Nothobranchius furzeri: one gene and its partner. The protein of the gene in region 2 binds, or shares a complex with, the protein of the main gene of each other region. Links are inferred from orthologs where the notes say so. Each region holds a gene or a part of one and is shown on either strand. Other genes may lie near its edges. The genes, in order: map2k1 and ksr1a.

Region 1 (4,323 bases), on a different chromosome or scaffold from region 2:
GCAACACACGTTGGTCTTGGCTGTGTTTAGCCTAGCCGTTAGCTCATCCATCCAGAAGATCATAAATACAATCCCTTTGAATGACGCTCATTCAAGGCACTTGCTACATTTGAGTAGTAAAATGTATCAGTTTTTTACAAGAAACACTTTTCAAAATAAAAAAAACTATGCCTCAAAGCTTTAGAAGGCTAAGACTGCTCTTTTGTAGGATAAAGAACCAGTTTATCAAACTTTTGTCAACAGATTTATCACAGGGCACAACAGTGGAGTTTAAACAGAGAAAAGATTCCAAATCTCTGAATCATCATTGTTGCCTCGTCTGCCCCTTGTCCCATTGCAGCCTGCCCTAGAGCAGCAGGAGGAATGTGAACGCCTCAACAAATATTATGTCACCATCATCAGTTTCTGTTGCACAATAGATTTAATAGTTAGTTAACTAGATTGGTTTTATTTAAATCCAGCCTTGCTGAAATCGTCAAACAGATGTCTGATTTGCATCTATTCTGAATTATACCTCTCAGAACTGTCACGTTTTTATTTCTATCTAATGCAGTTTGATTTTAGCTTATTGCATTTTTAAATATTCACAGCAGAGTCCACAGATGGCCTCCACATGTGTGATCTAATGATGGAACAATGAAATATTGTGCCTCAACAACACTTTACAGAAGCAGTTCTCACTTTGGCTGATGTTATGCAATTCTCCTCTCAGCTGATCCAGTAAGAATGACTGTGCTTGTCTCCACAGAACAAAACTAGACTTTAGCACAATGTCACAACAAGTTTATATCTCTGTTACATTGTTTTAGCCCCCTAGAAAGTGGTGGAAGAAAGCTGCTGCACCAATTAATGAACAAATGATTATTTAGCATTCTGCTTTGCTGCACAGTGAGCATGAAGCTACTTATAAAGGAGGTTTATTGCACTTTGATCCAATCACGCAACAAAATTAACCCTTTGATGCATGAATTATGAAATCTTCAACCATGATTTTTTAAACAATTTTTTTCATTCGTCTTTAGGTGTGAATGAAACAAATTTCAACAAATATTTTTTGTAAAATTTTATAATTTACAAATAATTTATTACATGTCCACTTCAGTGGGCAGCATGCATTCTGAGCATGAAATATGTTGGCTTGGCTTACTGAAGTCCAAACGGAGGGGCTCAAATGCAATAAAGTCTTCAACAGTTGTGCTTAATAGCAAAAACAAATAAATAACAATTTTGAGTACCTGTCCACTGTAGTGACCATTATGCATCAAAGGGTTAAAATGAAGTTATGACAAAAACAAACATTTAATAAATTATTGATAATATCTGGAAATGTCAGATTAACTGCAGGTTCTGAAACAACTGAATCTGTACATTTTCAGTTAAATTAAGGAATTAAGAATTCTGGATTATCACCTGCAGATATCTGAAAATTCAACCTTTATTATGTATTAACTTAAGATTGCTGATAAAGTTAAGCAAATATTGAGTTTTTTAAAAACATGTGTAGCAATGTTAAAAATTGATTTGAATCTAATATTAAGAACAAATAATAAATATATTATTAGTGACAATAATAATCTCTATCTATCTATCTATCTATCTATCTATCTATCTATCTATCTATCTATCTATCTATCTATCTATCTATCTATCTATCTATCTATATATATATATATATATATATAATCAGACTATTCAACAGATGGAGCAAAAATCACCAAAGTTTAGTTAGAAAAATCAATAATTTCTTCATTTAGGTAAATATAATATTACTATTTATCTAAGGATGTATCTATAGGGAGCTTAAGTCACTTCCGCATCATGGGTCCCCGGAAGAACGAAAAAATGAATGCAAGTCAACGGGGCTAAAAACGCTATTTTCTAATCCGCTTTGTCTTACACCCTGGATCACACATATGTTGTACTGCAATTTAAATGAAAACTAATGGTGGGTGTTTTGACCATGCCAGTCACGTACTTAGAGATTTATTAGCTTGTAAATGCATGACTACAAACTAGAAATCGGTACGTCGCATATGTGACGTCACCACATTATCTCCTCTCCCAAAATAGCTGCTACTAACTACATGACCAGATTTATGATGGTTCTTTCTTCCTGTGGGAAGTTTGATGAATTTACAGCCATGTTCCTTCAGTTTTGTCAGTGTCTGGTTCGATGACGTCACTTTCATGAATCGCATTTGTAGTCCTGGACTTCTTTTCACACAAAAACTAAAATATCGTTTCCCTCTGTTCGAAAATAAACACGTCCTTGGTATCAAAACGCGTCTTTAAAATTCACGGACATCATATGTGAAAGCCATGGCTAAAAACAAGCGGAATTAAAAAATAGCGTTTTAAGCCCCATTGATTTGCATTCATTTTTTCGTTCCTCCGGGGACCCATGGTGTGGAAGTGACGGCTCCCTATAATCAGCAATGTTTATAATCGGTCCACACACACACACACACACACACACACACACACACACACACACACACACACACACACACACACACACACACACACACACACACACACACACACACACACCACACACACACACACACACCTGGTGCAGTCTCATAACTGACGCACAGACACACACCCATCCGTTCTCCTGAATCTAACGCAGATGATGCAGATTTTGGATGAGAACCTAAGCATCACTCACTCAGAGGCTCCGGTTCCGTTGACAGCGTTCCCATCAGGAATCGGGTTCAGCTGGATCGGTTCTGGTTTCCTCCTTTTCTGCATGTTGTTGAGCAGGAGAGGCAGCAGTAGAGAGAAGGAGCTGTGGAGTCACAATCCGTGGCTAGAAGAACCAGAGCTGTCATGAACTGAAGCTGCTGATGTGCTGAGCGGATGGACGTGACTGAGTAGAAACAGCACGACAATATTTACGCAGGTAAAAAAAAAAAAAATTACACAGGTCTTCCGGACAGCGTGGATAGACGTGGTGCAGGGCGCCCTCTGCTGGTGGTAGCTGAGTTCACCACGGAGATGAGAACGTCCAAGAGGACAGACCTGGACATTCATTTCTGATAAACCTCCGCCTTGTAGAGTCAGCTCCACATACTGTCAGTAAATCCAGTGTAAAGAGCCCCGTAGAGCTATTTATCCTTTAATTGTTATTCAGATTTTTAAAATGAGTTATTTGCTTTCTTTATATTTTTGGATGCCTTGCAAAGTTTAGTGGTAACAATTATTTCATTTTTGTTTGTTTTATCATTAGAAGTCAGGTCAGCCAGGAAGAACTCTGGGCCTTCTTTCTATAAATGATATTGGACCAGCATCATGCGCTGGTGTGCACCTATTTTTATTTTTACCAGCGCAGGAGAAACAGCAGGAAACCAAACAAAGATGGATAATTATTGCTTCTCAAATCAGACAAACAAATGAAACACTCAAGTTTTTGGGACATTGGACTTCTTTTGTCTGCATACAAAATAGCACCACAATGCAGCAGTGGCTTAAAGATTTTATGAATGAATGATAGTTTTGTTATAAGCACAGTGTCACCTCTCCAGAATATAAGTGGTGAAAACAAGTCATTCATTTGGTTGTCCTACTTTTATTTCAAAGTAAAAACAAAAGAAGCTTTAAACGCACCATTCATGTTAAAAAACATGCTGACAGAGGTTTTTATATTTGACACATGAAAGGATGAAAAATATTGCTTAAGAGAGCATTGGTGAACCCAGAGTTGTGTTCTTTCTGTATTCCATTCCTGTTGTAGGTATTTCACCACACACCACCACATCTGGTTCAGTTGACTGTTTGTTTATTGATCTTTCAACATTCTGTATATAATCGTCACAGTTTTAATCATAGAGAAAGACTCCAAATGTTAAAGAGCAAGAAAAGATTTGAAACTATGAAAATGACAATGCCATCAAAGCTAAACCAACAAATGGCTAAATACAGTTTATCATAGCCATTTAAATCTCAAACCATATCGATTTAATCATTCCATAATTCATGGAGGGCACCATATGACTGTGCTGTACACGTTCATTGTTGCCTTGGGTCGGGACTAAAGGCCAACCAGTATTGTTTTTTTGATTGCCAAAACCGATGCCGATACGTTGAGGTCACGATCAGCCGATGGCCCATATGTGCTGCCAATTTTTTGGGTTGATTTTCATGGCCGATATCTAAACATTTTCCACTTTATTTGCATGCTAAAATGTGTCTACAATAAGATCAGTTGAATACAGTTTAAAAGTGCCAGACATATAACTAGTTAATCAAACAAATCATTGAACTGACCAAGTATCAAATACTCAAAACTGGTAAATAAAAATACATTTTTGTCAAATAATT
Region 2 (4,254 bases):
TATTAAATCGAAAATGTATCGTTATCAAAATTAAGGCTGCCACGATTAGTCGACGCGTCATGACGACGATTAATTTAATAGTCGACGCGTTGTTTATTGTATGAGCATTTTTTAAATCTCACCTGCTGCGGCACGTTCGGCATTTGCTTCCTGCCTCTCTGCTCAACGCACATGTGCGCTAGCCGCCACCCGTGTCAGCCGCTGCTTACGTGAGTCGAGGCACATGCGCAGTAGTGCCACTGCAGCTCAGCATTCAAATCAGAATCACTTACTCGCATCATGGCGAGTCGGCAACGGAGCTCAATGGTTTGTGAGCATTTTATGAAAACAACTGAGAAGTAGAGTGCAAACTCTGTAAGGTAAAACTCTTGTTTCACAGGAGCACATCGACGATGCACGAGCATCTTAAAAGGAAGCACGTGACGGCGGAGAACAAAGAGTCGCCTCTAAGTTTACCTCTTGTTAGCTGCTAGCATCATAGGTGTAGCAACAATAGTAGTGATGGCGATTATATGTTTAGAACACGTATCTATGTCACGTATTTGCTTTAACGTTACAAACGCTAACCGCTACGTTACAGTGCTAAGTGCTCTTCTTCTACAACGGACAAGTTTCTTACAAGGCCAAACACGTGCACACTGCAACAAGCCAACGTCCTGACCAAGGCCATTTTAAACATGCTGGTAATAGACACGAGACCCCGTTCATGGTCGGAGATCAAGGTTTTAAAGATATGATCAAGAAGTTCAACCCAGAATACTATACAAAATAATTAACCAGGCCGAGTACATTTCATCACAATGACAGAAAGGAAATATGAGACGACCATCGAAAAGGTGTGTATCTGTGGGCGTGTGACAGAATGCATGACACACGATTAGTCGACTAATCAGCAACAAAACTGGCAATTACTCGACTAATAAAATAGTCGTTTGTGGCAGCCCTAATCAAAATGTCTAACTCTTATCAAGAAAATGTTTCCCATGTCAATAAAATTGATAGTAAAACAATGAAAAGATGTGTGTAGGTTGGCAACGTCGCTGCACCACCTTGAGTCACGTAATGCATGTGACACCCGGACAACTTTTGTTTCTGCGCATACATGTAGTTATCGTCCATTAATCGTAATCAAGGTGAAATCCTCAATGTATCGTGATATTTACTTTAGGCCATATTGCCCCGCCCTAGGATGAAGGCAGGAAAAACTGCTGCCACCTAGCAGTCAGAGTTAGAATTGCACCAAATAAAGAAATACAGTACATGTTTGCGTGTAAATTCTAATAAAAAATATCGATATGCTGCTTTCAGTGATTGATATATATATAAAAATAACAGGAAAGCACCGATATGAAATTTTGGGCTGATATATATATATATATATATATATATATATATATATATATATATACATATATATATATATATCAGCATACATCATACATATATATATATATATGACACGCTGACATTTATGCTTCTGAAATCAGCAGATTTTGCATAAACTGAAAATTGTGCAAGCTGAATTTTTGAATGCCTTGCCTTATTTCTCTCACCCTCAGACACACAGACGGAATGAAGATGGAAAAAGAATCATTCGTTGATATCGGCCCAGTTTCACATATCAGACTGATACAGATATTTTTTTAAATGACCAACATCGGCCAATACCAATATTGATGCAGATATATCGCGCATCCCTATGAAACTTCACAGTATCACAATGCATCAACATTTTCTTAGATCTCTTATATAAAACAGTTTTAACATGGGTCATTTATACACTTCATCAATCTGTTTTAGAGGCATTTCGGTGCAAAAATCTCCTAAGTGGAATCATGTAGAATTGATATTAACTAGCCAATATACTATAAATATCTGTAAAAGTCATTATAATTAAAATCATTAACATTCAACGAAAATAAAAGTGTTTTCAATTTGATTCTATGAAGGCAAAAAGAATCTGAGGTTGACCAGGTCTAAAACATTTTTAAAGTGGAACCAATGTGCAGAGTCACCAGGCGTGACGTGGTTGGAGAATATCCTGGAAATGGATGGTTTCTGGGGGTGAAAACGTGGATTCTTCCTGTGAAATGACAGTGACTGTGCATCCGCATGCATGAGAACATCGACCATGCCTGCAAATCACATGGAGCGTGTGTGGTTTTTATATTCTAGGGCCTGGATTTACAAATCCAGCCCGACGCTGCTGAATACAGTAACAGATCAGATTATTGAATGTGTGCCATTAGGCCAGGCACGGGGGGGAGAGGGGGGATGCTGCTCCAGACAAATAACGCAGAAGGTCACGCAAATATCATGATTTAACAAATGTATCCGTATTTGATCAGAACCCCTGACATAAAGCTAATTGGATCATTTTGGGTCGTGAATGCATCGCAGAGCGTCAGCGGCGCACCGGGCTCTGCACCGGGAGCCTCGCTTGCAGCAGCCCCGTAATTCTGCTCAAATTCAGGCGGACATGGGGCTCCGTGACTCCGCATTTTAACCAACCAGACAGCCCCGGAGCGCTCGTTACCTCTAAAGTGCGTATTTCTTGCTGTGTGAGGTCGTTGGATGCGGCGCATTTGGTCCGTAGCCCCTGTAAACTGGAGATGGAGATATCAATCATATTCTGGATGAGTTCGCATTGCTGGAGCGCGGCCATCGCTCCGCCGCCGCCGTCCCTCCGCTCCGGCTGCTCATCACTCTCGACCATCTTCCCACCTTTAGCAGACACGCTATCCATTCCTCAGCATTTGGGCTCGGCTGGAAGGGCTGGAGTCAAACTGCTGAGCTCAAATAAAACATAAGTCCATCGACGCAGCGACCTATTAATTGCGGAAGAAGTTAGCTGACAGTCCCAGGCGCGCGACCTTTTAAAACAAAACCAAAAACTACTGGCGAGGGCAAACTGAAAGAGTTTCTAGAAATACTGTGTTAGCAGGCAGCTAAAAGGTCTCCGGTGTCCGTTAAGAGTCGGGTTGTGTATTTCCCGTCCACCGACAGCTCAGGCAGAGGCTTCGCCGTCTGTCAGCTGTTGGGAACGTCATGTTGCGCGGTGCATTCTGGGAAATAAAGTCCCACTGGCCACAAAAAGGGGGCTCTTCGCACTACACCTCCCGTCCTCCACCCACCCATCAACTCAACAACCGAACTGTGCAGGTTATTTTTCTATAGAGGCAAAAACATTAGTGATGATGGCTGCGTTCCATTTTTATGACCTGCTAGGGGCCGGTTGAGGCATTATTGGAGCTGCTGCAGAAAAAAGGAAGGTGGAAAAATTCAAATTTAGGTCAAAATGGAGAAAACTTTTAAATATTAAAAAGAAAAGTTGGATGTTTCATAGCCCGAGGAATAAACACAAAGTGTTCTACAGAATGTTTTTGTTTGTGTTTTTATTATTTTTAAACTGGGGGTGATTTATTTATGTATTTATTTATTTTGTTTGCAAAAGTCTGTTTTGGTTCAGTAGAGCCTGTCCCAAGCCATTGTGACTCATTAGGCCAGTAAAATCAAAGGTGTGTTGGCATTTACCTGATGACGTCTGGTGTTAAAAATATACATGCAGACTCACTTTCGGCAATGTTTTAACAGCACAAAGCTTTTTATGTTTTGTTCAGTGCGTTTCCTGGAAAAGGTGAGTATTTATTATGCACAAATAAAGAAAAATGCAACTAAATAACATAATTTAGTAGTAGAAAGAAGAAGCAATTTTAAAACCACAAGGCGCTTCACAAAAACAAAAAATACAAAAAATATTTGAAAATATTTTAATAAAAAAGGGGAAGGTGAACATTTTAGATTAAAAATGTAAAGAAAGAAAAGAATGAATGCAAAACAGGTAATCACGGGATCTCGAGCAAAACAGAACAGCAGCATGAAGAAAAAGCTAGTGAGGAAGAATGAGCAGGAGGTCCCACCAAAGCCAGCCTGAACAGATGAGTTTTCAGCTGCTTTTTAAAGGAGACCGCTGAGTCCACTGATCTCATGCTCAGGGGGTTCTAGGTCTGGGCGTCACAACAGCAAAAGATCTGTCAGAATACCGTAAATGAATCCGAGTTGAGGAGTAATCCAGTTTCTCCTGCACTGGTTTTAGCAAAAAGTGGCCCGAGGGAGGAGGCTAGCAATGCCACAGTGAATAATCACTACCTTTCACCTCCTCGTGTGAGGCACAGTGCACTGTCATTACCCTGAGCGGAGCACCACCGATGTAACAGAAGCTCTGCTGGGAAATAAATTATACATCTATACGAT

The links.
Region 1: the proteins of ksr1a (region 2) and map2k1 are in contact, whole or in part, in a crystal structure (PDB 9AXH), measured with the Homo sapiens proteins. The link is inferred for Nothobranchius furzeri from reciprocal best matches to the Homo sapiens genes KSR1 and MAP2K1. Residues at the interface, in XP_011523731.1 of Homo sapiens: Asn767, Gln768, Leu769, Lys770, Leu771, Ser772, His773, Leu776, Val784, Arg785, Met787, Thr788, Pro789, Asn823, Gln824, Ala825, Ala826, Glu827, Ala828, Ser829, Ile830, Trp831, Gln832, Gly834, Ser835; in NP_002746.1 of Homo sapiens: Asp217, Ala220, Asn221, Ser222, Phe223, Val224, Gly225, Thr226, Arg227, Ser228, Met230, Arg234, Leu235, Gln236, Gly237, Met308, Ala309, Ile310, Phe311, Leu314, Asp315, Val318, Asn319.

What each region holds. Positions count from the first base shown.
Region 1 is NC_091744.1:66,095,903-66,100,225, forward strand, and holds the start of map2k1 (dual specificity mitogen-activated protein kinase kinase 1), read right to left. Parts: upstream 2,906-4,323; 5' UTR 2,755-2,905; coding exon 2,672-2,754; intron 1-2,671. UniProt on the Homo sapiens protein: Dual specificity protein kinase which acts as an essential component of the MAP kinase signal transduction pathway.
Region 2 is NC_091750.1:49,826,562-49,830,815, forward strand, and holds the start of ksr1a (kinase suppressor of Ras 1), read right to left. Parts: upstream 2,959-4,254; 5' UTR 2,747-2,958; coding exon 2,537-2,746; intron 1-2,536.